Oryctolagus cuniculus: one gene and its partners. The protein of the gene in region 2 interacts with the protein of the main gene of each other region in a biochemical or structural test. Links are inferred from orthologs where the notes say so. Each region holds a gene or a part of one and is shown on either strand. Other genes may lie near its edges. The genes, in order: CCNB1, CDH1, JUP and CTNND1.

Region 1 (7,460 bases), on a different chromosome or scaffold from region 2:
CTGTGATACTTATATTTCAGAAAGAACCGTTAGTTACCACACAAAATTGCTCTGGGGGCATTTAGAACCCAAGTTTTCTTCTTTTTCTAAAGATGTATTTGAAAGAGTTAGAGAGAGAGGGAGAGACAGATTTTCCATCCATTGGTCATTCCTAAAATAGCCACAACAGCTTGAGGACCCAAGCCAGGAACTTCCATCCAGGTCTCCCAAATGGGTGGCAGGAGCCCAACACTTAGGCCACCTTCTGCTCCTTTCCCAGGTGCACTAACAAGGAGCTGGATCAGAAGTAGAGCAGCAGGGACTGGAACTGGGGCTCAAGGGGGATGCCAACATTGCAGGCAGTAGCTTAACCTGCTATACACAATGCTGGCCCCCCACTTTTATTTTTTAATAGAAAGCTTTTGTTTAATAAACATAAATTTCAAAAGTACAACTTTTGGATTATAGTGGCTCTTCCCCTCATATCACTCCCAAACTGTCCAATGTCCTACTCCCTCTCACATCCCATTCTTCATTAAGATTCATTTTAATTATCTTTATATACAGAAGATCAACTCTATAATGAGTAAAGATTTCAACAGTTTGCACCCACAGACACACAAAGTAAAAAGTACTATCTGTAGTTTTTGTTTTGTTTTTAATTTTTACAGGGAGTTAGACAGTGAGAGAGAGAGAGAGAGAGAGAAAGGTCTTCCTTCCGTTGGTTCACCCTCCAAATGGCCGCTACGGCCAGCGCGCTGTGCCGTTCCGAAGCCAGGAGCCAGGTGCTTCCTCCTGGTCTCCCATGCAGGTACAGGGCCCAAGCACTTGGGCCATCCTCCACTGCATTCCCGGGGCCACAGCAGAGAGCTGGCCTGGAAGAGGAGCAACCGGGACAGAATCCAGTGTCCCAACCGGGACTAGAACCCGGGGTGCTGGTGCCGCAGGTGGAGGATTAGCCAAGTGAGCCACAGCGCCGGCCTGAAGATTAGTTTTACCATTAATTCTGATAGTACAACACATTAAGGACAGAGGTCTTATATGAGGAGCAAGTATACAGTGACTCCCATTGTTGATATAACAACTGACACTTTCATGACGTCAATAATCACCCAAGGTTCTTGTCATGAGCTGCCAAGGCTATGGAAGCCTCTTGAGTTCACAACCTCCGACCTTATTTAGACAAGGTCATAATCAACGTGGAAGTTCTCAGTACACATGTATTGTTTTTAAAGCTTCCCCCTCTGTCCCTCATCTTCTAGTCATCGCAGAGAAGCTGTTTTGCCGCATTATCCTCTTTGCTTTCCTGTGTTTCTTGTACAAGTATATTCATTGCTGTGTGAGTGTATGCCCTTGTGCACATGCATAAACAAACACATCTAAATGTATATCCTTGTAGCCTGATTCCTTGTGTCAAGTAGAAAGAGGCAGAGATTTGTACTTACATTAGATATAATAAAGTCCCAGGAATTTAATTTCTAGGCATTTGGATGCACTCCAATTTTCTTCATGATTTTCACAAAAATTTCCATCTGCCTCTTTATCTTCTACTAACTTATCTGACTTTTCTTAAGCACAAATATTCAAAATAGAAGAAATTTAATTTTCTGTTCATTTTTTGTCTTAAAGTGATAGCCAGTCTTAGAGTAGCACCATTTTCTATTTTTTTGCCTGTCAATCTAAGGCATAAGCAGAAATGTTATGTGTTAAGTAGGCTTTGTGGGCTATCTGGAAATATAAGTATTATTTTTATCAGGAGTGACTAGAAATAGAAGGAAAGCAGATGATGAGGTGACTTACAGAATGGAATTAGATGTTGGGGACGATAAAAGGCACAAGTGCATCCGGATTTGAGCTGTGGTCTTTTATTTGATAGGAGAGGAGCCTCAGACATCTTCAAGGGAGAGCTGACACCTAGCATGGGCTGAAACTAGGGCAGGGGGTCCCAGGATGCTCCTGTTAAGCCCTGTTCTCTTCCTCTAGGCTCCGGCCTATAGCTCCTCTGCTTCCAATCCAGCTACCTGATAGTGTCTACCCTGTGAGGCAGTAGATGATGGCTCAAGTACTTGGGTCCCTGTCGCCCATGTGGGTGACACAGATTGAGTTCTTGGCTCCTGTAGTTAGCTTGGTCCATCCCTGGCTGTTGTGGGCATCAGCGAGTGAACCAGCAGATCTGTCCCTATCTTTCAGATGAAATGAAAATAAATATAGAAACAAAGATGGGGCCGGTGCTGTGGCGCATTGGGTTAACGCCCTGGCCTTAAGTGCCGGCATCCCATATGGGCACCGGTTCTAGTTCCGGCTGCTCCTCTTCCAATCCAGCTCTCTGCTATGGCCTGGGAAAGCAGCAGACGGCCCAAGCCCTTGGGCCCCTGCACCCACGTGGGAGACCCGGAGGAAGCTCCTGGCTCCTGGCTTCAGATCAGCACAGCTCCAGCCGTTGCGGCCATCTGGGGTGAACCAGCGGACGGAAGATCTCTCCCTGTCTCTACCTCTCTCTGTAACTTTCAAATAAATAAAATCTTTCTTATTTGTAAGCTTTCAAATAAATAAATCTTAAAAAAAATAGAAACAAAGAAATACTGCCTATATCCTGCTTGAATTACTATGGACTGTTGATAGAAAAACATCTTTAATAAAGCTAGCTGTTGTTTGGGAAAAAACAGTCCAGCAATACTGACCTCAAGCTGTCGCAGGTATGCATAGATATCCTTCACATACTCGCTACAAAGGTTTGGATCAGCCCCATCCTCTGCGTCCACATCACTCACTGCAAGAATCACGTCCGAGAACGCCTGACACAGATACTCCTCTGCAGGCGCACATGCGGACGTCTCCATCGGGCTTGGGGAGGGAGTATCAACCTGGAACAGAGACATGTCTTAAGCAACAGCAAAGAGGAGCACATGCCACGACTGGGAATGGAGATCAGACAACTGACGTATAATTCAGTTCCTTAATGGAAAAGTATCTTTCCAGATGTATTATATTTTTTAGGAAGTGATATCAAAAGTGAAACATCAACTTAGACTTAGCCAAGTTAAAGTCAGCAGAACATAAACACTAACAGGTGAAAGAGAAGCAAATAAATCGCGTCCTAGACTTTCCTCCAAAGGAAACGGTTAGGTAATGAACCTAACCGTTATATCACCATTATACGACACCTATGTATGTGAACCTACCACCATCATATGAAATCAATCCAAATAAAAGACATTGGTTTTGTATTGCTAAAAAACATGGACTGCTTCTCACTACTCAGAATACAAGTTCTGTCCTGACTACCAGAAATTAACTGATTTTCATTACTAGTTACCATTTCCTTCTAGCCATCTTTACCCCATTGTTCAAACACTTTCCAAGCGCATTTTTCAAGTCAGACTCTGTACTAAGCGTTGACTTAATGGCATCCCCAAAGGGCTTTGAGTTTAGTATAGACAAATAAGGTGACCGAGTCCAGGAACAGGAGTGGGGGTGGGGGAGGACAGGAAAAACTTCAGGAGCTGATGCTTGAGCTGTTTCGAGGGATGAAGGCAAAGGACGCCTGGACCGAGACTGGACATGTAGACGGCGGGCGTTTCCTGTGAAGACTGTGTGCATGTAAAGGCCGTGTGAGTCCGTGCCTGCCTGGTGCTCCGCACAGCCTGCTTCCTGGGACGCACTCACTACTTGCTACTGTCACTGTTTATTCAAATGCTATCCCAAGCAATCAACAGCCTCTAAACGGGTAGAATGCATTTACCAGAATCGGCTCAGGCGAGAGTTTTTCTTCTTTAACAGGCTCAGCTTCGGGCTCGGGCTCCGGCTCCGGCTCAGATGCCGGTACAGTCACCGTTTCCAAAGGTTTAGGGAGTTTTTTAGCAGGGATTTTCCCAGTAGGTAGAGTTTTGGCTTCCTGCAGACGAGAGAGAGAACGGATGCCCCTGCGCAGGCCAGGGCTGGGGGTGAGGGGTGGGGGGTGGGGGCGGGAGGCGGAGGGGCGGCTACCTTCTTCAGAGGCACTTTGGCCTGGAGCTGCTCGCTGACTTTGTTACCAATGTCTCCCAGGGCCGTTCTGGGCCTCAGCCCGGGCTTGCAGGCTGCAGCGGTGGCCACAGGCACACGCTTGGCGCCTGCCATGGTCATCTTCCCCTTGTTTTCCACGTTAATTTTCGTGTTCTGAAAGAGGCAAGTCAACCGCGGGATAATGAAGGTGGGCCACAAGAGAGGCGGCTCTTCGCAGGGCGGGGCACTGGGCACGGGTTCGAGCGGGGAACAAGGGCTCCAGGGTCCGGCCCACGGCCCCAGCAAGTCCGCTTCCTCCCAGAACCCCCTCGTTCGCCAACCCAGGGGCTTCCAATGAAGTGCCGGCCAGCCCCAAGACATCCGAATTTACATCTGAAAGGAAACCGAAAGGCCCCGCTCCGGGCTCCCCAGGGCCCTCTCTCCAGCCCCAAACCTCCCGGACCTCCGCGGCCCCCTGCCTCCCTCTGGGCCGGCCCCGGGCTCCCCACCACTCCCGGGGCGCCGGCCCGGCCCGCGCCAGGGCCCCCTGACGCCGAGCAGGCAAGCCGCCACTCACCCTGGTGACGCGGAGCGCCATGGCTTCCTCCTCGACAGGCGGCGGGCGGCGGGCACACGCAGCACACCGGAGGCCCCGACCCGTCGCGGACCAGAAGCCTCCACAAGCCAACAGCCGGCCGTTCCTGCGCAGCACGCCGGGAGGCGCCGGCCCCTGCTCAGGTTTAAACCCCGCTCCGCTCCTCCTCATTGGCCGGTTCGCGGCACTCGCTCCCTCCGCATTGGCGGGCGCCGGGGCCGGGAGAATGCGTTTCCAGGGCGACCGCGCGAGGACGTTCGAGAGGGGGCGGGCGCAGAGCGCGGCCGCGGCGGGCCCCTCCCGGCTCCCACGTGACCGGGCTGCGGCCCGCGGGCGCCCGGGGCAGCGGGGCAGCGGGGCAGCGGGGCGGGAGGGCGCGGCTGGGCTGCCGGAGCGGAGCCGCGGAGCCTTGGCCTTGAGCTGCGACGGGGGTCGGGGGAGGGCGGTGCGCGGTGCCCGCAGCGGGTGAAGCAGCTCCGGCTGCAGTCCAGCGTGGCGGTGCACGCGGTCTGCCTCCACGGTGGCAGCGGGGATTCCTTCGGGCTAACCACAGGCTTTCATGGCCGTGCGTGCCCTGAGGTGACCATTGCAGCGGCCCTCGGGGGTGGACGGCGCTGAAGCCCGGGGACCCGGCGACTTTCGCCGCGCGGGGCCGGAACTCAGGGGTGTTTGGGTGACCGTGGTTTGCTTTTGCCTTTCTTTGTGGAGCTGTGATTTTTTTTCTTCCCACGACTTTGTCTCTCAAGAATGCCCGCCTCGGGGCTGATGGGTCCAGCTGGAGAGGCCACCGCCCATCTCGCCTGCTGCCCAGGCTGGGCCAGCCCCGGGCCTGGGCCCTGCCACCCATGCGGGACACCAGGATGGAGTTCCCATACGGTTTTCCTTCAGACATTTGTGGAATGACCAGCAGGTGGAAGATAACTGCTGCCTCTCCCTCTCTGTGTGTGTCACTCTGCCTTTCAAATAAGTAAAAAAATGTGAAGAATGTCAACTTGCCATATTGCTTCTGATTAGTTGGTTTTTGAAAGCTTGCGTGGTTTCCCAAAGCCAGTCGCTTTGCTTTTTATTTGGAAAAAATATCCTATCCAACAGCTGTAAACACCCAATTATAAGGAACATCCCTGCACCCTTTACCCAGATTTAACTGTCATTAACATTTTTTTAAGATTTATTTATTTTATTTGAAAGGCAGAATTACAGACAGAGGCAGAAGCAGAGAGAGAGAGAGAGGTCTTCCATCCGCTGGTTCACTCCCCAGATGACTGCAATGGCCGGAGCTGCACTGATCTGAACCAGGAGCCAGGGACTTGGGCCATCTTCCACTGCTTTTCCAGGCACATTAGCAGGGAACTGGATCAGAAGTAGAGCAGCCAGGACGCGAACTGGCACCCAGATGGGATGCTGGAACTGCAGGTAGCAAGTGCTGGCCCCTTTGTTAGACCTTATCCCATATGCTTTGTCATGTGATCGGCTTCTCTGTGGTGCCAAAGAAAACAAACAGGTCCTTTTTGCTTTCTACCTCCCCAACCACACAGGACCTCAGCACTTGGAAGGCAGGTAGACAAAACCACTGGGATCACACAAGACAGCTCTGTACTAGCCAGTAAGACCCCTGGCGTAGCAGAAAGCACCCATTCAGTGCGGTTGGATCATCATTCAATGTTAGGTCATCGTCATTCTTCTCTGCCCCCACAGGGTGCCTGCCATGGGGTCTTTGTCCGCCTTCTTGCCCTCAGAACCCTGGATTCTGTCCAGCTAACTCCCAGGCATCCTGCAGCTCTGCCCAGATGTCCATCGACAGTAAGTCTTTGGGGTTTGATGAGTCCCTGTCCCACCTCTTCATGGTTGGGGAAGCCTGGGCAACCTACCCTCTGCTTCCATTTCTAAAAATTATTTTATTTTGGAACATTTTTACAATCTAGTTTAAAGTAAGTTATATTGTATATATTTGAGTTTCACACATGATGTTAGGGGATACAAATAGATGCCAAAATGGTTGCTGTAGTGAGCCAGATTAACATATCTATTATCCTGGCAACAGAATTAACTTATTTTGAGTGACAGGGCTGCTAAAATCTACTAATTTAACAAAAATCCTTAATAAAATTGCATTAACTTTAGTATATTTTTAGGGCAGTTTTGGGCTCACAGCAGAACTGAACAGAAAGTAGAGGTTTACCTATGCAAGTACAGCTTCTCTTACTTTCAATATAGAACACCAGACTGGTAGCTTTGTTACAATAGGAGAATCTATACTGACACCCCATTATCACCAAAACGCCAGGTTTTTTTATTAAGAATTATTTATTTATTTATTTAAAAGCAGAGTTAGAGAGAGAGACAGAGAGAGCTGGTTTACTCCCCAAATGTCTGCAATGGCTGGGCCTGGGTCGGGCTGAAGCCAGGAGCCTAGAACTCCATGTGGTAGCAGGGGCCCACGCACTTGGGCCATGTTCTGCTGCTTTCCCAGGTGCAGTAGCAGGGAGCTGGATTGGAAATGGACTGGTGCTCAGGTGGGATGGAGGCATTTCCTGCACCATGACTCTGGACCCAAACTCCATAGTTCACATTAAGAGTCAGTCTTGGTATGGGCCTATGGCCTTTGACAAATATACTAATGACATATATCTTCTGTGATTGTAGTATACACAATAGATTCACCACTAAACACCCGCTGTGCTCCACCTGTTCATTCTGCCTGCCCTCCAAACCCCTGGAACCACTGATCTTTCTGCTGTCTTCATGGTTTTGCCTTTTCCAGAATGCCACATGGTTGGAATCATGCAACATGTAGTCTTTTCAGAATGACTTCCTTCTTCCTTCCTTCCGACAGGCAGAGTGGAGCAGAGTGGATAGTGAGAGAGAGAGACAGAGAGAAAGGTTTTCCTTTCCTTTGCCGTTG
Region 2 (6,937 bases):
AATATTCTGCGGTCCTGAGGCCATCCTGTGATGCCTGTCTGCCGGCCCTGTCCTGCAGGCTGGCCCTGGGCTTCGGGCGGTGCCGAGAGTCACTCCCTGCACCGTGGGCACCAGTCTCAGCGCTGGGTGTGCAGTATCAGCGGCTCATTCGGTGCTTGCAAGTGCTAATAATATCCCTGCCTTAGCTGTTAGGAAGCTCTGGTGCGGAGCGGCGAGGACTCGGCCCGAGCCAGCAGGTTCGGCAGTGAGGAATCTAGCTGGCTGGGCTCCTCTCTAGGAGACGAGCACCAGGGTGGGGAGGACAGGGGCCCGTGGGTGTGCACAGTTGTGCCTGCCCGCCTGCATGTGTGCATCGCTGTGGGTGTATCTGCTCATACGGCGTGTGCATCGCTGTGCACGCATGTGCTCGTACGCACGCACACATGCAGACAGGCAGAACTGGGGAAGGGTTCTGGGGTGCCTCGGGCCCCATCTCATCTCTACCGAGTACACCTGGAATCATTGAGAGCCAGGAAGTAGGACTTGAATCGCACCTGGCAAATGGCCGTGGGTGGGGTGGGAGCTGGGGTTTGCTCTGCAAACGTGACTGTTACCGCGTTGCACTTGGAAGCGCTCCAGTGATTTGGAAGCTGTTTTCCTGCACTTTGAAGTGCTCCAGTGACTTGGGTTTTCCTTCCCTCTTCAGCCCAGGTTTCCCTGCGTGTGCATGAAAACCCTTCAATCAGATTGTTTCCATCCCAACAGCTTCCCTTAGAACAGTGGCAACCCTGTGGGTGCGCCACGGTGAGGTGAACCGCAGGGTGGTTCGTAGGATCCATTCCCCACCCTTACTAGTACGGCCGACAACTCTGCTCTGGGGCCCTGGATTCCTGGGAAAGACGGAAACAAAGAGAAAATGGACCCCCCCCCCCCCACCCCGAGCTTCTGGCAGTTGCATCATCCCTGGTATTAACTCACTACTGCATCGTGTCGCTGGAAGATGGACAGATGCCTTGTTTAGGCTGGAGCTCACTTGTGAGTTCTCATCAAGCCTTGCAACCTGTCTGTGTGTGCTTGGTAATGACTTGGACCCCAGACACCACGAAGGGTCAAGCGGGAACACGGTCTTACGCGGCCAAGGGGTTCGTGCGTTTTGTGTTGCCCGTTCTTTTTGGAGAATGTGTATCTCACTGGTCATTGATCAGAGAGGGTGTCACTAAGTGAAAGCCACACTCTGCCTTAGAGAGACCAGATGACGCCTCCTGGATGAGGTGGGCCGTCGGACCTGTAGTGTCGCTCCTGAATTCTCATTTTTGTTCCTCCTCTTTCCTTGAAGGAGTCTTCCCCTGGAGCCAGCACGGAAGTGCTCACGTTTCCCGACTCCCACCATGGTCTCAGAAGACAGAAGAGGGACTGGGTTATTCCTCCCATCAGTTGCCCAGAAAATGAAAAAGGCCCATTTCCTAAAAACCTGGTCCAGGTAAGGAGGGCAGTTCTCTATTTGGGAGAAATCGAGCAGAGCAGCACCGGGGAGAGAAGGGGAGGAGACCTGACCGGGGGAGGGGTGTCGTTGCTCAGCGGCCCTGTTTGCTTTTGGCTCCTGCCTTCAGATCAAGTCCAACAGGGACAAGGAGACCCAGGTCTTCTACAGCATCACCGGCCAGGGAGCCGACACGCCGCCTGTTGGTGTCTTCATCATCGAGAGGGAGACGGGATGGCTGAAGGTGACGGAGCCTCTGGACCGAGAACACATCGCCAAGTACACGGTGAGTGCCTCCGAGGAGCTTGGTTGACAGTGGGTTGGCTTCCGTCCAGAATCTAGGTCAACCCAGATCAGATCCCCGACATGGGAGGGGCTCGATCTGTTGCCAAGGAGACGAGACAGGGGCACCCAGGACAATTTGAAGTTGTGAATTGTTTTCCTTTTAGGAGAAAGGGGGGGACAGTGCTCTCGTACCATGCGTGAGTTTAGACCCAGGATATCAACCTGCTCTTGGCTTAAAGGAGCAGTGGTGACACTGGGGGAAGAACCAGTTCCTGGACTTGGTAGCAGGCAGTGTGGGTTTGGGGCGGCTGGAGGGAACGTGTTGGTGCACGTGCAGAGGGGTCTGGGGCAACTCCAGACTGGATGGCTTTATCCCTTCTGGGCCTGATGCCCTGGTCCTCGGGGTGGGAAGCAGAAGGGGGTCAGGATCTCACTGAAGCAGCAGCCCAGGTCTCAGAGTAGAAGTCGCAGAGGCCGGAGGATCCCACACTGCCCTGGCCAGGCCCATCCTCTGCCTCTTCATCCTCGCCGGGGCCCGAGTAACCTTCCACTGGCTCCTGCAGCTCTTCTCTCACGCCGTGTCGTCTAACGGGAACGCCATTGAGGACCCGATGGAGATCGTGATCACGGTGACGGACCAGAACGACAACAGGCCTGAGTTCACCCAGGAGGTCTTCAAGGGCTCGGTCATGGAAGGCGCGCTACCAGGTCTGTCCAGGACGAGCGGCTGGTTGCCTGGAGCCGGGGTCAGGCCCCTGACGCGGACCCTTGCTGTGGACAGAACTTGTTTGGGAGCCAGTGTGTGTGTGTGTGTGTGTGTGTGTGTGTGTGCACATGCAACACAACCTAGCCTCAGGAATGTGCGACTGATGGAGCAGTGACAGCCACCTCCCCCCCTGCCTAACACAGCAGTGCTTGTGTATTGCTCTTTGTTCTTCTAAGGTTTATTATTTGAAAGTCAGAGTTAGCCATCAGTTTTCCGTCTGCTGGTCCACTCCCCAGACAGCCACAACCATCAGGGCTTAGCCAGGCAGGAGCCAGGAGCTTCATCCAGGTCTCCATGTGGGTGGCAGGGGCCCAAGCGCTTGGGCCATCTTCTGCAGCTTTTCCCAGCCCATTAGCAGGGCACTGGATCGGAAGTGGAACAGCTGGGACTCAAACCAGGACCCATATGGGATGCCAGCATCGCAGGTGGAGCCTTACCTGCTTTGCCATAGCCACATGTGCTGCTCACACAACATGCTGAGCCATGTTAAGCGATGACAGAGTGTCTCCCAGGTGGCTGAACCGGTTTACATTCCCACCAGTAATATAGATCCTGGGCTTACTGGACATTTTGGCGTTTGCCTACCTGTCGTGTGATTATGTCTTAGTGCAGTTTAAAAGGGCATCTCAGTGATTACCAGTGAGCTACACAACTTTGCTAGCCACTTGTGTTTCTTTTTCAGGACTGTGTGTGTGTGTGTGTGTGTGTGTTTCTGTTGGGCTGGTTGTGTTCCCTAGTGATCCTTTTCCTAACTGTGTAGTTGTTTAAAAAAATTTTACTTATTGAGGGATAGAGAAAGAGCACTCCCATCTGCTGATTTACTCCCCAAATACCCACAACATCTGGAGCTGGCCAGGCTGAAACCAGGGGCCAGGAACTCCAGGTCTCCCATATGGGTTGCAGGGACCCAAGTACTTGGGCTATCACCTGCTGCCTCCCAAGGTGCAGTAGCAGGAGGTGGAGTCGGGAGCAGAGCCAGGACTTGAAGCTAGGCAACTCCAGTGCCTACTCAGTGCCTTAGCCACTGGGCCAATTGCCTGCCCCCTTGTTGATTTTTTTTTTTTTAAAGATTTTATTTATTTGAAAGGCAGAGTTAGAGAGGTGGAGAGAAAGAGAGAGAGGTCTTGTATCTGCTGGTTCACTCCCCAAATGGCCACAACGTCAAGAGCTGGACCAACCTGAAGCCAGGAGCTTCTTCCAGGTCTCCCATGTGGGTGCAGGGGCCCAAGGACCTGAGCCATCTTCCACTGTTTTCCAGGCGCATTAGCAAGGACCTGGATCAGAAGTGGAGAAGCTAGGACTTGAACTGGCTCCCATATGGGATGCTGGCACTGCAGGCTGGGGCTTTAACCCTCTACGCCACAGTTGCTGGGCCCAAACCCTACCCTGTTGATTTTTAAGCATTATTTAGATGTTCTAGATACTAGACTAGACACTAGTCTCTTGTCAGTCACACGTGTTAATGAGTATTTTCTTCCACCTTGAAGGCAATGATCTCAAATTACCATGCACTCCAATAAAGCTGCAACAACAAGCCAAGTGAGGAAAGTTCTGGAATGTTCTTTCTGTCTGTCTGTCTGTCTTTCTTGGCAGAGGAAAACAGGAGAGATTGATTGATTGTTCATCTTCTGGCCCACTGCCCAGATGGTTGCAATGGCCATGGCTAGACCAGGCTTAAGCCAGGAGCCTGGAAACTCCATCCAAATCTCCCACCTGGGTGCAGGAACCAAGCACTCAGGTCATCTTCCGCCGCCTTCCCTGGCACATTAGCAGGGAGCTGGATCAGAATTAGAACAGCCGGGGCTCAAACTGGTGCTTGTACATAATGCCAGCATTGCAGATAACAGCTTAAGGCATCACACTACAATGCCAGTGCCTGGATTTTTCTTATCTTTGATGCCATTCACTCAGTAAAGCCACATCACAAAGTGTTGTAGAGATATTTAGTCCTCAGATTCACCTCTGCGTGCTGCCCGAAATGTGTGTTGGAAAAGTTGGGTCCTCGTTTGGCTGGATGCTTTCTTCCTCCCCTTGCGCTTTAGTGAGAACGTCAGAGAATTGGCATCAGCTGCTGGTGGGGGAGCCTGGCTGTCGCAGGCATCCGGGGAGTTAACTGGTGGGAAGGAGCTCGCTCCGTCCGTCTCTAACTCAACGGATAAAGTAAAAGTTCAGCACTCAGGGCCCAGGAGCTGGGACGTGACCGCATCGAAGCTGCCCTCTGTCCTGTGGGCACGAAGTCGGCCCCAGGGCGGCCGTCAGGTTCCCAGCCTGATTGCGTCTTCTTCCCCGGGGCAAACAGGAACGTCCGTGATGCAGGTCACGGCTACGGACGCGGACGATGACGTGAACACCTACAATGCTGCCATCGCCTACGAAATCCTCAGCCAGGAGCCCGAGCTGCCGCACAAGAACATGTTCAGGATCAACCCGCAGACCGGAGTCATCAGTGTGGTCACCACCGGGCTGGACCGAGAGGTCAGGAGGACCCAGGGGACATGGAAGCGGCTGTGTGGTTGGCTAAATCCCGTGGCAGTGCGAGGCCACTTGTCCCAGAGCGGCGGCCGCTGCCCCCGTCCTAACCCGAGTGTGCTTGGTCTCCGCAGACGTACCCCGAGTACACCCTGGTCGTTCAGGCTGCTGACCTCCAAGGCGAGGGCTTGAGCACCACGGCGGAAGCGGTGATCACGGTCACTGACATCAACGACAACCCTCCCGTCTTCAACCCCACCACGGTAATCTCCCAGCGGTGCTGCTGCCCTCTGTTTGGGAGCCGAGCTTCCCCACTGCTCTGGGGAGGTCCTGCGTGCGCTCCCCAGCCCGGGCGATGCCGACTTAGAACCTGGAGGCCAACGCTCCGGCCTGGCCGTTGTGCTCGGGCATCTTTTTTCCCATCTCTGGCCCCGAGGCCCCTTGGTGGAGGACCGCGAAGATGCAGACAGCGCCCCTCAAAACCATGTCCTTGCCTCGCGTGTCCTTGTTGCGGATCTTACAGGGGTTCATTTACTCGCTGGGCAAATGTTTCCTGCTTGCAGCTGCACACTGTGGCGTGCGCTGGAGGCATCCTCACAGACAAAGCACACACAGGTTCTGTTCTACAGCTCAGCGTCTAGCCGGGGAGATACTGAGTAGTTTGCACGCCTTACTGAATACCAAGTATAATAAATGCATTCTGGAAGAAGGCACCGAGGGCCGAATGGAAGAACTTACTGTATTAGTTAGGAGTTGAGTTATTGGCTGGCTACATAGGCCTGATTATGTAAACAAATAGGGTTGACTCTTTTTTTTTCTCTAATGTGGCAAAAAGCCTGCAGGTAGATGGGGTACGCTTTGCTGAGGCCACTTGTCACCTTAGTGTGGTGACAGCAAAGACCCCAGGGAAGAAAGCCAAACAAGGCAGGTGTCCAGGAGCTCGTGGGTAGAGGGGAGAATGTTAGAATTTGTCCTTGGGCACAAAGGTGCCCTCACGACCAAACTCTGGAAGGAGATGACTGATGGAGGGTGCACGGGGGTGGAGCTGGACCGCAGTGTCCATGCGGGGCTTAGGTCACTGCCCCAGCTGGGTTGGCAAGCTCTCGGGGACTTGGGGAGCCAGGGCCTTGGAGAGCTATGCACAGGGTAGCTGGCCTGGCCTGTTGTACCAGGCCTCCTGCAGGCTCCGTTAGCCCCCTGGGCCCCGGGCACCCTGGGCCTCTGCATACCGGGATGACCTGTTCCTCCCTTGGCTCTGCAGTACGTGGGCCAGGTGCCCGAGAACGAGGCCAACTACCTGGTTGCCACGCTCAAAGTGACCGACAAAGATGAGCCTAACACCCCGGCCTGGGAGGCTGTGTACACCGTATTGAACGATCCTGAGGGCCAGTTCATTGTCACCACGGACCCGGCCACCAATGACGGCATCCTGAAGACAGCCAAGGTTTGTGCAGTGCCGGGAGGGGACGTCCCCCAGCTGTTCCCACCAACCCCCACCCCCCGGTCTTCTCTGGTGTCGGTCAGCGTTTGCTGAACCAGGACCTGGTGCGATGGCGTAGGGGTCGTAGTGACCTGCAGGCCAAGCGGAAGAGGATGTCCTGTCTGCTTTCCTGTGCTCCTTCCCAGACCACACTCCACCTCCTTTTGCAAACGGCAGGAAGCAGGGTTCCGGAGGCAGAGACAGACACAGAGCCCTCTCATCCACTGAGTCACTCCTCAAATGCCCGAAACACTTGAGGCTGGAGCAGGCCAAATGCGGTAGCCTGGAACTCCATCCAGGTCTCCGGCGTGGATGGCGGGGAGCCAAGTGCTTGGGGGTCACCTCCTGCCTCCACAGCGCACGTTAGCAGGAAGCTGAGATGGAATCCAGGCGCTCCATGTGGGATGCCAGAATTCCGGTTGCATCCTAACTGCTGAGCAGATACAGCCGTCCTCGAGAAGCGTCTTAGAGATGTGAA
Region 3 (7,523 bases), on a different chromosome or scaffold from region 2:
GACCCTGGAAGGCTCCAGCAAGCATGCAGATGCAGAAGGTCGTGCCAGGCCCAGCGACACCCCCCCAAGCCTGTCCTACCTCTTGGGAGATGCCGGGGGGGGGGGGGTGCTGCCTGCAGCCCAGGCCAGGACCCTGGGGAGGAGACGCGGGACAGGCTGAGGAAGAGGGGTCAAGTTCAGATCCAGGGGAGGAGGGAGAACAGCTTCCCCCAGCACAGCTTCCCCCCCTCCCCGCCCCCACCGGGGGCTCCAGCAGCACGGGCTGGTCACTCCCAGAGGGCAGTGGCAGAAGCGGGACAGAGTGGGACAGAGCTACAGTGGCCAGGGCTGGGGACAGGAGACGACAGAGAAGCTTCCGGAGGAAAACCCTGGCTTCCAGACTGGAGGGACGCCCAGGCTGTCCCTGAGGCTGGGGGGGGGGGTGGGGGGGGTGGGACGGGGAGGCCCAGGCCTGCGACCCAGCTGCTGTTTGTTTTCCTCCTTCTGGGCCCCTTCCCAAAGCAAACAAACCAGGGTGGGAAAATGAAGGGGATTCGCGGGAGAAGGAAGCGGCTGAGGCCAAGTGGCTCGACCCGGGAACCCCTGGGCTCCCCTGGCGAGGGCTCCCGGAGGTGACCCCTTGCAGGCAGCGTCCCAAAGCAGCAGGTGAACCCACACCAGGACTCCAACACTTCCAAGGGCGGTCAGCGCACAGGTCTCCTCCCAGTGGTGGAGCCGGGGCAGGAGCTCTGGCCCCAGCTGCCGTCCACTCCCGAGGGTGTGATTCTGCAGGGACCGTAGCCTGACCCTCTCCTGTTCCTGTTCGCTACACTTCCTTGAGCGGCACACACTGGAGAAAGCCAGGACTGGGACAAAGGTTTGGCTAAAACGTGTTCTGGTGGACAGAGCATGACCTCATCAAGACGGAAGCCAAGGCACAAAAGGACGATAAGAAAGCGGAGGAGACCTCGCAGGGGCTGCCGACGGGGCTGGATTCTGGATTTTTCTCTTTCCCTCGTCAACTTTTTTTTAACACCCCAACTTTTTCGCAATCACCCCCAAAGGAGCTTGCTGACTACCCAGCCCCTGTCCCCGACACGGCCCCGCTCCCTGCCACCTGCTGCCTCCACCCCGTCCACCGCTGGAATATGGGGCAATCGGGTCCCTAGACCTCAGCCAGATCCAACCTCGGCCAGATCCAACCCGGGTCCCAGCAGAGGCCTCAGGCTGTTGCGTGCAGGAACAAATTCCAGGGACCTGCCCCCGCCAGCTCGGGGGGGTTGGGGGGGAGCAGCCCGTGCCCTCACTATCGTGTCCCTCCTCTCCCCTCCATGCAGACCCCAGCAGCCCCCTCCCCTCCCCGCTCCAGGCAGGAGGGTCCTCCTCAGAGAAGACACAACACTGGGCCCCCACCTTAAGGGACAGGAAGCTGCCACTCCTTCTACGTGGCACCAGTCTCGGCTCCCTTGCCACCCACTCTCTCGAGTCAGCCAGGACCCACGGGAACCTCTTCCCTCAGTCCCCTCCAGTCCCCTCTGCCTTCTGTGCAGGAGCAGCAATCCCCATGCCTGGGGTCCGCTGGGCCCTGGAGGGGTGTGGAGGCTGCTGGGGCTAGGCTACAGAACCCACCTCCACGCCCCCTCCGGAGCCGGGTGTCAGATGCGCAGATGGCAGCAGCAGTGCCAGACCCAGGCAAGCCTGGGAGGACAAGGGGACGCCAACTCCTCACCCCAGGGCCAAGAGGGGCTCAGGCTGACAGGGGGCACCCATGGCGCTGCCGCCCCCAGTGAAGGAAGAACCCCTGCCCAACCACCTTCCACCTGCCCCTCGGGGCTCCCAGGCTTCCGACACAGGCCAGCCAGCGCCCCACCAAAGCAGGCTGATGGGGACATGAGGCAGCTCTCTGAACCCCGGCTCTCCTCTCTGCACTCCCCAGGGAGCAGCCCCCTCATTTTCTTGGCACAGCCCCAGCACCTGCAAAGCAGGCAACTCCTACTTCCCACCCAGCTCCAGCCCCCTCTGCCCCTTGCCCTCTTCTCCCTGCCCTGTCCCGCCCCTGGCCTTGGGGGAGCTGCCCCCTCCTCCAAGAACTAAGAACCCAAGTCAAGAGGGCGGGCAGCTAAGACGTGAGTCACCCCACCGGACAAACCTGCCTCCACCCACACACACCTCACTGGGCCTTCTGAATGCTCTTCTCGGTCAGGCAGAGGCTCTCCAAAGGGGACAGCAGAAAAAAATCATTCCAGAGCTGCGGGGTGAGCTCTGGGCTTGGAGCCCCAGGACCCAAGTGTAGGCGCTGGCTTCGTAGGGGTCTCACTGTGCGACCTTGGGCAAGTGCTTTAACCGCCCTGTTTCCATCTCCTCTGTGGATAGCAGACAACAACAGCTGCTTGGGAGGAGAGCCGGACAGATGAGGTGGGGACAGTCACGGAGGCTGTGTGCGGACCCCCCCAGGTCTCCCCTTGATCTTAGGTGAGCACCCATCAAGCCCTTGCTGGGGAGCTGGGAAGATTCTTCCCATTTTGCCAATGGAATACTGAGGCTCAAAGAGGTGAAGGGCTTTGACCACGCAACACAGAGCTGCGATGGAAATCAGTGCCTCTCCCCCGGCCCTTCTAGAAGCCCACCGGCCACCAGACCCAGCACACTCCAAGGCAACTGCTGCCCACGGGACCCACCCGTGGGCGTCCAGGAAAGGTGGCAGGCTGCTAGCCCTCGCCTGACCTACTGGGCTCCTACATGCTGCATTCTCCCAGCTCAGCCCTGGCAGCCCAAACAGAGGTTCCACAGGGAATGGGGAGGAGCTGGGGGGGGGGGGGGCTCCTGTCACCCAAGATGGGGTTTGGTCTGGCCAGAAATGACTAATCGGGTCCTACCTCCCCCCCACCCCGCCCCAGACTGCCCAGCCAGGAGCCAGTTTTCACCAGGCACCTCCTAGCAATACTTCCTTGCTATTATCTTTTCATCACAGCCACAAACCAGATTAGCTAAACTAATCATTTAGCCAACGTAATTACAATGCCTTCCCCTCCTCCACCTTAGCGCAGAGAGGAGGGAAAACAGGCAATTTGGGCCCCAACTCCATGGCTTCCTAGAGGTGCGCCGGCACACACCACACAGCAGAACAGGGCTTCGGTCCCCTCCTCAGGCTCCCTCACCCCAAGGAGCAGCCAGATTCTGCCCTGGACACACCAGGGAGGTGGGTCTGGCCTCCCCTCCCCCTCAGGAGGCTGGGCTCCAAATCCCCCAAAAAAGACCACACTTGAATTCTTAAAAACCAGGGAAGACAGCCTGGTAGAGATCCCATGCCGGGCAGGAGGAGCGCTCGGGAAATTGGGGGGGGCAGGTCGGGTGGGGCCCCAAGGCATGTGTGAGGGAGCCTAGCATTGAAGCAAAGCACCCCAGAAAGCCTTGCTCCCGCCTCCCCCTCCCCCACCAAACTCTCCCGGGAAAGGGGGTGGGGAGGCGAGGGTCTGCAGAAGCTCCAAAAACTGGGAAATCAAAGGGAGAGCCAGTCCGGGCCTCAGCTCCCGCCAGGGAAGTCGCACAGGACTCGGTAGAGGAGGGGAAACAGACAAGAATCACCACTCCCCCACCTTCCGCAGTTTGGCCCAGTCCTGCCCCACCCCCATTCCTGGGGAGGGGGCAGAGCTTGGGAGAGAGCCACCAGCGCAGGCCTCATCCGAGGGGGTGTGGTGGTCCCCGGAGGCAGGAAGAGAAGGAAGAAGCTGCTTCCCTTCTCAGCCCACCCCCCACCCCGGCCCCCACCTCGGGCCCCAGGGGCCCAGCAAACAGGATGGGGGTGGGGGCGGGGGAGGCAGGTCAGGGCGCAGGCACTGGGCCGGCGCGGGGAGGGCGCCCTGCCCCAAGGAAGCAGGAAAGCCCCCAGAGAAAGCAACCGCGAACACTTCCTCCAGGAAAGTTTGTTCGGGTGATTTTTCAACAGGAAGGTAGAGAAAGGTAGCTCCGTTCCCACATCGACACTGTGGGAGCCACAGCGACAGAGAGCCGGGCCAGGTGACCCCGAAGCCCTTACCTAGGCACAGACCCCTACCCGCAAGCCCCAGTCCGAGCCACAGGCGCCGGACACCCACTGAGCACTGACCAGGGCTCTGCCCCAGCCCCACGGCCACCCCATCCCACTTCCGCTGGAAGAGCCCCAACCCAGCGCGAACTGGAGCGGAGGGGGGCGCCGCAGGTACTGCGCCGACGGAGCTCCGCGAGCTGCCAGGCAGGGCCTGCGGCTCCGAGCGCTCACCTGCTGGGCAGGTGGGGCTCGCGTCTCTGGGAAAATGCCTGCTTGGCCCCCACAGTTGGGCAAGCCGGGCGCAGACAATAGGGCCCCACCCAGGCCTGGGGGAATAGGGAGGGAGTGAGGGAAGGCGAGGATGACGCGTGGGTGGGGTGAGGGTGGCCCCAAAGAGACCAGTGGCAGCAAGTTTACTAAACCGTAAATTCCCAATAGCAGAGTGAGCCCTAGGACGCGGGCGGAGCAGGTCAAAGTCTCCCCAGCCAGCCCAGGGCGAGTCAGGGACGCGGCATCGAGCTAGCTCCGCGGACTCCGGGGGAGGCGCGACCCTAGAGGCACCTGTCCCGGCCCCTCCCAGCCCTTCTCGGGTCTCGGGCTCATCGAGGCCCGAGGTGCGCTTGGCCCCCACCGCGCGTCCCCTGAGTCGCCGTGCCCAGGACCGCAGCGCGCCCCCTGCCGCCGGTGCAGGGTGGCGCTCCCTGGCACCGGCCCTCACCTGCCCGGAACGGCTGGGACTGGTCTCTCGACCGCTCGCCGCCCCTTTCCTCTCCCCAACGATACCTGGCCCCGATCGTCCGCACCTGCGTGTGGAGCCTGGCCGGGCTGGGTCGGGGTCGGGCCGGGGTGGAAGCCGGCGTGGGCAGCAAACTGAGCTCGGCGCGCTCGGGCGGCGGCTGCTCCGGACTCTGGCCAAGGCAGCAACTCAGTAACCGAACAAAAGGCGAAGGGACCTGACAGCCAAGCCACGCCTCTCGCCCCCTCGAAGCTCCACCCCCTAGGGAGACGCCCACCCGCTGCTGCGAGCTCACTGGTTGCGGCGCCTGACTGTCCCAGAGAGGGGCGGAGCCTCGCGCCCAGTCCTCTTCCACGGCCGCCTCTGTTTATCCGATCGCCATTGGCCCAAGGGACTGCCAGTTGGCTCTAGGGATGGGCCCCCACTTGAGGCACCATATTAACTCTGCACCTATTGGCGGATAGAAAGTTACTTCCTCCTGATTGGACGAGGGGCTGTCAGTAAGATTAAGGAAAGGACCAATGGAAGGGATGGGGTGTGTCTTGCCCCACCCTAGCTTTGAGCAGGTAAGACTCATTACTCTCCCCTTCCCCCTACCTGTCCAACAGGTGAGTCAGGGGGCGCCGTGGGAAAGGACAGACGCCTTCGCCGGCCAGCCCACTTAGCGTCAGGCATGATGTTTCTTTGGGCTTATTCATCCTTGCGCCAAGGTAGTAATCACATAGTTGTGTAGCATTTCATAGGCTTTGTGCTGGGTTGGGATTTTTCCCCCCCGCAGAGGATAGAGAGTTCCTGAAATTTAGGACTAGAAGGCCTGGGTTTGAGTTCTGCCATTTGTTGGTGGCAGGTCGCTTCACCTTTCACCTTGTCTGTCCTCATCTGTAAGATGGGCACATTCACGAGAGGGCCAAGAGCTGGATGAGGTAAGGCCCTTGGACAACTGCTAAGTGTCGGGATTTAAATCGATGATATGATTTTTAAAATGCTGCTGACAGTTCCGAAAAATTGCCAGGACAACCAAACAATCCTCATTTTAAAGATCGGAGAAATCACTAGGAAACGACTTGCCTTGAGCCGGAGCCCCTTTTCTCTGATTTCAAGTCCCACCGAACCTCGGTTTGCTCCTCCTGGAGGAGTGGGTACTGACATCAAAGCAGCGGGGAAGGACCAGGGACACGGCAAAGCAAACACTCTGGGGAGTGATGGAAGGGCGGTTATTTGGTCCAAGGACAGAGCATTGGCATAGGGAGCTTGGGCAGGTGTAGACAGAATCAGGCAGTGGCCGTAAAGGAAGAGGAGTTGGGGCATCAAGGGAGTGGGGCAGCAGGGCTCTCTGTGGTCCAAGAGCCTGGGTTGGATATCAGAAAGAACTTCCCATGGGCAGTGTAAGGTGACAAGGGTATACCCTTACAGTGCCTGAGGAAATGAGTGCTGCTCATGACGTACACTGTGCCAAGAGTCTCACAGATGTCCACTCGTTCAGTGCAAGTATTGAGCACCAATTGTATGCTGGGCACTGGCTTAGACCCTGGTGGAGAGCTCACAGAGACTCTGTGTCAAGTGTCTGTAGCTTGTGTGTCTTGGGGGAGTGGTCGCGTATAGAGAGTCCACCCCTCCAACATGCTTCGCAGCCAGCCGAAGCCAGCACACAGCACGGGCTGGGGGGAGGTACCCCAGTGGCCCCTTGACCACCGTCCTCAGCAAGGGAAGGAGTGATGGCTGAACACTCTCTTGTCTGAAGCCTCACCATCCAGGAGTCTCCCTGTGATGGGGCCAAGGACGCATCGACATCCCTGAACCTACAGCCACCCCAGATGCCATGTCCCTGACCCGCTCCTCCAGCTGACCACGGGCCCCAGCCTGCCACACAGCACGGGGCCGCCCACAGCCTGGGAGGGAAAGCGCTCACCACCCTCGGCTGCTGCCAGGGCCAGGCTGGCTCTTGCTCCCCTCCCCACCCTGACCGGCACACCGACACACCAACACACACGTAGGCCTTCCCAGCCCCACACCTTGGCTCCACTCCCGCCTCATTCTCCTGACTTCAGCAAACGCGCAGGGTAGGGCTGGCTGACTGCAGAGAGGGGCGGGGGCACTGGGGTGGGGTGGAGGGAGGAACCCCTGTGTGTGCGTGCGCACGTGTGTGTGTCTCCCAAGAATGCCCCCTGCGTGTCTGAGTGCGGAACATGCTGCAACACGCCTGCCCCAAAGCTGGGCTCTAAGGCGGAGACTGGCTTCAGGCACCACCCACAGCAGAGAAGATAGATTCCAGCCCTGTCTCTCCTCAGAGGAGGGGATTTTGTGCGCATTTATTAAGCACCTACGGTGTGCCTGCCAGGCACAGAGGATTCCTCCGTAAGTGGTGTTCCCTGGAGTCAGCTGTCTGTAGAGCAGATTTTTTTTTTTTTTTTTTGACAGGCAGAGTGGACAGTGAGAGAGAGAGACAGAGAGAAAGGTCTTCCTTTGCCGTTGGTTCACCCTCCAATGGCCGCCGCGGCCGGCGCGCTGCGGCCGGCGCACCGCGCTGATCCGATGGCAGGAGCCAGGAGCCAGGTGCTTTTCCTGGTCTCCCATGGGGTGCAGGGCCCAAGCACCTGGGCCATCCTCCACTGCACTCCCTGGCCACAGCAGAGAGCTGGCCTGGAAGAGGGGCAACCAGGACAGAATCCGGCGCCCCGACCGGGACTAGAACCTGGTGTGCCGGCGCCGCTAGGCGGAGGATTAGCCTAGTGAGCTGTGGCGCCGGCCCTGTAGAGCAGATTTGCCCTCACAGGAGGAGGT
Region 4 (6,937 bases), on a different chromosome or scaffold from region 2:
GCTTTGTGCTTCGTCTTTCTGGTCTGATATTATGATTGGCAGACACATATCAAGCCTTAAAAGGTAACAGCTACAATGTTCACATTTCATAGTCTCATTTGCCCAAGGAAGATTTCATACCCAAATCCTATTTCAACAAAATGAGACAGAACCATATTCAGAAGCAGCTATAAAATTTTAATCTAAAGATTTGGGCATACAGAAAGCATTTTACATAAGTTCTCTTGAGATTTTTAATCATGACAGGAGATGAGGGCCCCAGAAAAATAAATCTCTTTCCAAAGGTCTTAATCCTTGGTCTCTGCAGTAAAGATAGTCACTTCATAATCCAACAAATATTTTCTATCACTCACATATTACTTGGTAGGATATCCAAATAATTACCAAATTTCTGATAGGATATCCTACCAGATAATATGGCTTATCAAATAAATAGGCCTATTGGTTTCTAACTATAAGGACTGAATATAGCCTGACAGCAACATTATGGCCCAGTGATCAATATTTACATACATGGGTGTTTTTATTCTACATTCTCCTATTTATTAGGATGGCAGTTGGGGTTGGTAGCTTCTAGTCTTCTCCTAAGTGTTATGTTCAAGAGAGTCATCTACTGCAGTGGGCTTTATTCAATGTTAGTTTTGTCAAATGTAGCAAGAGAATTCCAGTGACTTAGGAAGTCATTAACTACACTTCAATCTCCTACTGCTAAGTTTGCAATAAGCTCCCCAAGCTCTACTTCAGCCACATTTAATTTTTAAGAATCTTCTAAAGAAAAAATGTTTCACATATGATTTAAAAAGGACGCTGCTTGATAAAAAGTTGGACTGTGTTCAAAATAAATCCATCCCGGTGTCACCTCCTCTGGTTGTTCTGGAAAGAAAGGACACTGACACATAAGGAGGTAACCAAGATGAAAAGGAGGGAAAAGATACAGCTAGAAGTGAAGAAATGACACAGACCCCCCACATACACACTTTAAAAACTTTATTTATATAAAAAACTCATTTGTTTTTAAAAGCATTAACAAGAAAGAAAGAAAATGAGAAAAGATATGGAGCAGAAGGCATGCCCCTTAGTAGTGTTCGGTGAGAAGGTGGGATTTTTGGTTCTCTGGAATTGAATGTTTAGTGTTTTTATAAATGAGAGAAGGAAAAAAAAAACAGTTAAAGGTCCCCAAAAGCCCATGGCTGTTCTATTACCCACATCCCACCGAAAAGAGAGCACCAGGAAAAAAGCAGAGGAGGGCAAGAGAAACCAAGAGTCGAGTCAGGTGGGGATGGGGCAACTTCCCCTGTGCAGTGTGCTCCGGGGATCACGGATAACATAAGGTAGAAGGGAATAGGAAGAAATGGGAGGGGGAGAGGCAAATAAGGAGTTTTAACATATGGGGAAGGGGGGTGAATTGTGCACTTTTCTCCTACCCCATAGCCTCAATACATAAGGGAAGGGGAAAAGAGGGATAAAGAATTCCAGTTGCATTGAACAGAGCTTTCAGATTAAGGGGAGTAGAAGGCAAATAAGGAAAAGGATCAAAAAAAAAAAAAAAATTAACCCGCATAGCAGCTGATTCCTCTAACCCAATCTGCTAATACACACTAAAGCAAGAGGGTGCAATATTAGCAAGAAGGAGGAAATCGGGAAAGATGACTTCCCTACGACCCCTTCAGAGATGATGGGAAATTGTGGGCAACTAAAGAACAAGAGTCACACCACGCATTCCTCCCATTAATTCCACTTTGAGATTTATCAGAATGGGATTTTTGCAAAACCCCAACCTGATGCTGTTGAGCAAAAGCTTGCTATGGCTAAACTCAAAAGCTACGCCAATCCCCAACTGAGAATCTGAGGTTCTCTAGGTCACCTCTCCTCTTCTTTCTATTACTGAGGGCCAATAGTGGGCAAGAAAGCAACAAAATAGAATTTGCAAAATCATGAGAAATGAGACTGCAGAGGTAAAGAAAGGCACATGGAAGGGAGGGAGGAGATACACCCCAGGCCAAAGGCACAAAGAAGAGGCAAAGCCAGGGGCAATCCCCACATTATAAGGGTAAAGGGGACAGGAGTTATATACATCAAGTCCTTAGTTGGCCAACCAATCCAGGGAGGAGGCAGGGGATGAAAGGGGAGGACAAGGAGAAATGGAGAGGGGGAAGCCAGCTTTGAAGCTTCCTGCCAGTTTCAGACTAACCACTTCATGTACATTCCTACTAGCTCCTCCTAGAGGCTCCTCTTCTTTCCAAAAGACATCTTTCTGCTCCTTCTCAACCAAAAGTCTTCCTTGACATTCTCCTCTTTAAACAGTTTCTTGCAAACGGCCAGGCCAAGTCAGCAGACATATCACAACGCGGGAGAGGAGGGCTAAGGATAGCCTCAGCGGCTGCAGCCCAAAGTTGACATGAGGCTTGTAGAAGAGATGGAGTCTGTAGGTCTTTGATGGTCCCTGCCCCATAGGTGAGGAGAGCAAGAATTCTTAATCCCAGTTCTAGAAGACCTTCACTTACTCAAGGGCCCTTGCCAGGTGGAATGTGCCAATGTTGCCAGCCTTCTTTGCTTCAAAAATAGCCATTAGGAGTAAAGGAAGAACTCATACTTCCCAGTCTCCAAAAGGAAATAAAAAGTCCCTTCCCCACCAGGGGAAAAAAATCTTGATTAAGAACCATCAGTTTGTCAGATTGCTCAACACTGCATATATTGCATATAAGTTCCAATTCTTCCCATGGCTTCCAGTGAAGAAGATTCCCACTCTCTCCCTCCTCTACACACGGCCAAGAGTTCAAGGGAGAGTTGGCAAAAAGAGCTAATCTGCAGCAGTTTCTCAAAATATGCAAATAACTGAGTCAAGCTTCTTGGGAGAAACTGGAGGGAATGGGGGCGGAGGTGGGTAGGACATTTAAACTTCACTGGAAGAAGTTGGGAGTTGATATAAAGAAGGCAGCCACTTAGGGCTATAAGAGCAGGAGGCAGCCTGGCAGTTGGCACAATAGTCCAGCGAAGAAAGGAAAAAAATCATCAGTCCATTTCACCACCAAAAAATAAAAGTACATATATTATAAGCCCAGATGGAGCGGAGATGGTGGTGCTAAATCTTCTGCTGTGGGAAGAAAAGAGAAAGAGGATGTTAATAGAGCTGGGAGTAAGGAGACCCCAAAAAAGACAGTTGAGTAAATCTGGAGGAAAGCAGCACACAACCAAGAATCAGATCACCAGCTGCAGGCCCCAGCTTCTCAAGAGGTAATAATCAAAGGAGCAGAGCCCCCTGAGCCCCGCAAGGCTGAGACCTGGTGTCTCGGGTCTGATCAGGTCAGCATGATTGGCGAGCTGACACACAGGAGCCTTCTTCCTCAAGTCTGATCTCAGGAGAGACTGGAGGACATACCATGGAGGGGTAAGACACTTGGTGCCCCTCATCATCCAAAACCAACACATCCAACTCTTCCTCCAGAGATTCCCGTCCCTCGTCCTGCTGTGAACACATGCAATTTGTTAGTATGAGTGAAGAGAAAGGAATCTCGTGAGAGTGTGCCAGACCGAGTGCAAATCCCAAAATCTATAAACTCAAACAAAACAAGATGACAGTAAGAGAAGGGCACAACATTCACACAGGCAGGTTCAGGAAGAAGGCAAAGTATGAGAACAGATCAGTTAGTGTTAGTCATAACAGTAACACATTTAGACTTCCCTTCCCCCATCTTGACCACAGCAGAATAATAACCCAACAAATCCCAAAATGAATCAAAAACTCCCACTTTTTACTGAAAACACCAACAAGAAAAGGGTCTTTCTCTCTGTACCTTTTTTTCCTATTTCATAAAATATGCAGGCTTCAAAATAGAACTAGTCTTAGATGGCCAATAGTATATAACAAGAATTTACCATCAATGGTGCTCCCTTCAATGGCTCCATATCACCTAGATCCCCGGATCGATCCAGTGTTCTGTTGTGGTCCCCTCTCTCATTAAGTGTGGAATAATTGTTATCTAGTGAGAAAGCACACAGAAACATGACCTTACCCTCTCAAGTACAATATATATCAAACAGGTAAGTATGAATTACATATTTCTGACAGAAATTGAGCTTTGCCAAATGTTCCAGAAAGGCATTAATGCTTAATTGTCCCTGAAACCAACAGGAAAGACAACATACATGAGACACCCAGAGTACAACACATAATAACAAAGCTAAACTGAAGAGATCTGTTTGTAAAGAGTATTGCAATTAAGCAAAAGGAGAGCAAAGTAAGCTACAATAGTTGGGAAGGACCTGGCAAAGGAAAACATGAGCTTAAGCCTTTAGGAATGAAGAGAACGTAGAAAAGCAAACAAGAAAATGGTATTATGTGAGCAAAATTTAAATAAATTTAATGACTGGCCAATGCTTTTCCAGTATGATAAATACTGAGGATATTAGAAAAACCTATAGAGATAAATAGCTCTAAATCCTTAAGAGGCATCAATCACCTACCTAGTAATTTTGTGTTAGATCCCATACTGCTCATTTGAATCTCTTCCCGATCTGGTTTCTTATCTATAAGGAGTCAGAAAGTTATCCAGGTCAAAAACCAACTCTTTAAACTCTAGACACATCACAAAAATTACTCTTTGGTCTACAGCAAGTGGTAGCACTTAACACTGGCCCCCAAGGGCCTTTAAAAGTGGCCCTAAAGGGCTGGCACTGTGGCATGGTAGGCTAACTCTCCATCTGTGGCATCGGCATCCCATGTAGGCGCCGGTTCTTGTCCTGGCTGCTCCTCTTCCAATCCAGCTCTCTGCTTATGGCCTGGGAAAGCAGTGGAAGATAGTCCAAGCTGCATCTGCATGGGAGACCAGGAAGAAGCTCCTGAATCCTGGCTTTGGATCGGCCCAGCTCTCCAGCCATTGTGGCTATCTGGGGAGTAAACCAGCAGATGGAAGGCCTTTCTCTCTGTCTCTTCCCCCTCTCTGTAATTATAACTCTCAAATATAAATTTAAAGAAAAAAAAGTGGTCCTAGGGCCGGTGCTGTGACACAGCAGGTTAAACTGCTGCCTTCAGCAACAGCATCCCATATGGGTGCCAGTTCGAATCCCAGCTGCTCTACTTCCAATCCAGCTCCCTGCTAGTATGCCTGGGAAAGATGGTCCAAGTTCTTGGGCCCCTGCATCCACGTGGGAGATCCAGAGGAATCTCCTAGCCCAAGTCTAACCGATGTTGCCATTTGGGAAGTGAACCAGCGGATGGAAGATGGGTGTGTGTGTGCTTGTGTCTTATCTCTCTGTAACTCTGCCTATCAAATTAAATAAATAAATTTAAAAAAAAAAAAAAAAGTGTCCCAAGTGGCAGATGTTGCAGAACAGTGGGTTAAGCCACTGCTTGGGACAAACCATGTCAGAGTACCTGGTTTGAGAACCAGCTAATCCTAGCTCTGATCCAGTTTCCTGCTAATGTACCTGCAAGGCAGCAGATGATGAGTGGGCTCCTGCTACCTACGTGGGAAGACCTGGAAGGAGTTCCTGGTTCTTGGCTTCAGCCTAGCATAACCTTAGTTGTTGTAGATGTTTGGGGAGTGAAGTAGATTGAAGATCTCTCCCTTTCTCTAGGTGTATGTTACTTTTGCCTTTCTTTCTTTCTTTTCTTTCTTTTCTTTCTTTTCTTTCTTTTATTTTTTATTTATTTATTTATTTATTTTTGACAGGCAGAGTGGACAGTGAGAGAGAGAGACAGAGAGAAAGGTCTTCCTTTTGCCATTGGTTCACCCTCCAATGGCCTCCGCGGCCGCCGTGCTGCGGCCGGCACACCGCACTGATCCGATGGCAGGAGCCAGGTGCTTCTCCTGGTCTCCCATGGGGTGCAGGGCCCAAGCACTTGGGCCATCCTCCACTGCACTCCCTGGCCACAGCAGAGAGTTGGCCTGGAAGAGGGCAACCGGGACAGAATCCGGCGCCCCGACCAGGACTAGAACCCGGTGTGCTGGCGCCGCAAGGCGGAGGATTAGCCTAGTGAGCCACGGCGCCGGCTACTTTGCCTTTCAAATAAATAAATAAAATATTTTAAAATAATAACATAATAAATATATATAAATAATAATAAAGGGGCCAGTGCTGTGGAGCAGCAGATTGTCACCACTTATAAGGTTGATACCCCATACTGGAGTGCTGGTTTGAGTCCCAGCTGCTCCACTTCTGATACAGCTTCCTGATAATACACTGCCTAGGAAGGCAGTGAATGATGGCCCAAGAATTTGGGCCCCTACCATCACATGGGAGACCAGGATGGAGTTTCTAGCTCCTGGCTTCAGTGTGGCCCAGCCCTGGCTGTTGAAGCTATTTGCAGAGTAAACTAGAAGATGGAAGCTCACTCACTCTCTCTCTCTCTCACAGGTTCTGTCTTTCAAATAAATAAATAAATATTTTTTAAAAAAATAAGATTTATTTATTTATTTGAAAGAGCTACAGACTGGCTGGCGCCGTGGCTCACTAGGCTAATCCTCCACCTTGCGGCGCCAGCACACCGGGTTCTAGTCCCAGTCGGGGCGCCAGATTCTGTCCCGGTTGCTCCTCTTCCAGGCCAGCTCTCTGCTATGGCCCGGGAGTGCAGTGGAGGATGGCCCAAGTGCTTGGGCCCTGCACCCCATGGGAGACCAGGATAAGTACCTGGCTCCTGCCTTCAGATCAGCGCGGTGCGACGGCCGCGGCGGCCATTGGAGGGTGAACCAACGGCAAAGGAAGACCTTTCTCTCTGTCCCTCTCTCTCACTGTCCACTCTGCCTGTCGGAAGAAAAAAAAAAAAAAAAGAAAAAAGAAAGAGCTATAGACTGAGAGATCTTCCATCTGTTGGTTCACTCCCCAGATGGCTACAATAGCCAGGGCTGGAGCAGTCCAAAGCTAGGAGCTTCATCCAGGTCTCTCACGTTATGTATAGCAGGGACCTAAGCACTTGGGCCATCCTCTGCTACTTTTC

Evidence for each region.
Region 1: of the proteins of CDH1 (region 2) and CCNB1, one has a biochemical effect on the other in vitro, tested with the Homo sapiens proteins (3 studies listed by BioGRID). The link is inferred for Oryctolagus cuniculus from reciprocal best matches to the Homo sapiens genes CDH1 and CCNB1.
Region 3: the proteins of CDH1 (region 2) and JUP form a complex in vitro, tested with the Homo sapiens proteins (2 studies listed by BioGRID). The link is inferred for Oryctolagus cuniculus from reciprocal best matches to the Homo sapiens genes CDH1 and JUP.
Region 4: the proteins of CDH1 (region 2) and CTNND1 form a complex in vitro, tested with the Homo sapiens proteins (5 studies listed by BioGRID and IntAct, with this or other methods). The link is inferred for Oryctolagus cuniculus from reciprocal best matches to the Homo sapiens genes CDH1 and CTNND1.

What each region holds. Positions count from the first base shown.
Region 1 is NC_091445.1:90,144,251-90,151,710, reverse strand, and holds the start of CCNB1 (G2/mitotic-specific cyclin-B1), read right to left. Parts: upstream 4,706-7,460; 5' UTR 4,562-4,705; coding exon 4,541-4,561; intron 4,138-4,540; coding exon 3,967-4,137; intron 3,875-3,966; coding exon 3,722-3,874; intron 2,844-3,721; coding exon 2,661-2,843; intron 1-2,660. UniProt on the Homo sapiens protein: Essential for the control of the cell cycle at the G2/M (mitosis) transition.
Region 2 is NC_091449.1:51,966,882-51,973,818, forward strand, and holds part of CDH1 (cadherin-1), read left to right. Parts: intron 1-1,315; coding exon 1,316-1,459; intron 1,460-1,589; coding exon 1,590-1,745; intron 1,746-2,307; coding exon 2,308-2,452; intron 2,453-4,809; coding exon 4,810-4,985; intron 4,986-5,113; coding exon 5,114-5,242; intron 5,243-6,240; coding exon 6,241-6,423; intron 6,424-6,937.
Region 3 is NC_091448.1:20,925,460-20,932,982, reverse strand, and holds the start of JUP (junction plakoglobin), read right to left. Parts: upstream 4,968-7,523; 5' UTR 4,810-4,967; exon of another isoform or gene 4,725-4,809; intron 1-4,724. UniProt on the Homo sapiens protein: Common junctional plaque protein. The membrane-associated plaques are architectural elements in an important strategic position to influence the arrangement and function of both the cytoskeleton and the cells within the tissue.
Region 4 is NC_091432.1:14,351,485-14,358,421, forward strand, and holds the end of CTNND1 (catenin delta-1), read right to left. Parts: intron 4,528-6,937; coding exon 4,465-4,527; intron 3,981-4,464; coding exon 3,877-3,980; intron 3,467-3,876; coding exon 3,305-3,466; 3' UTR 3,282-3,304; intron 3,095-3,281; coding exon of another isoform or gene 3,083-3,094; 3' UTR 971-3,082; downstream 1-970. UniProt on the Homo sapiens protein: Key regulator of cell-cell adhesion that associates with and regulates the cell adhesion properties of both C-, E- and N-cadherins, being critical for their surface stability.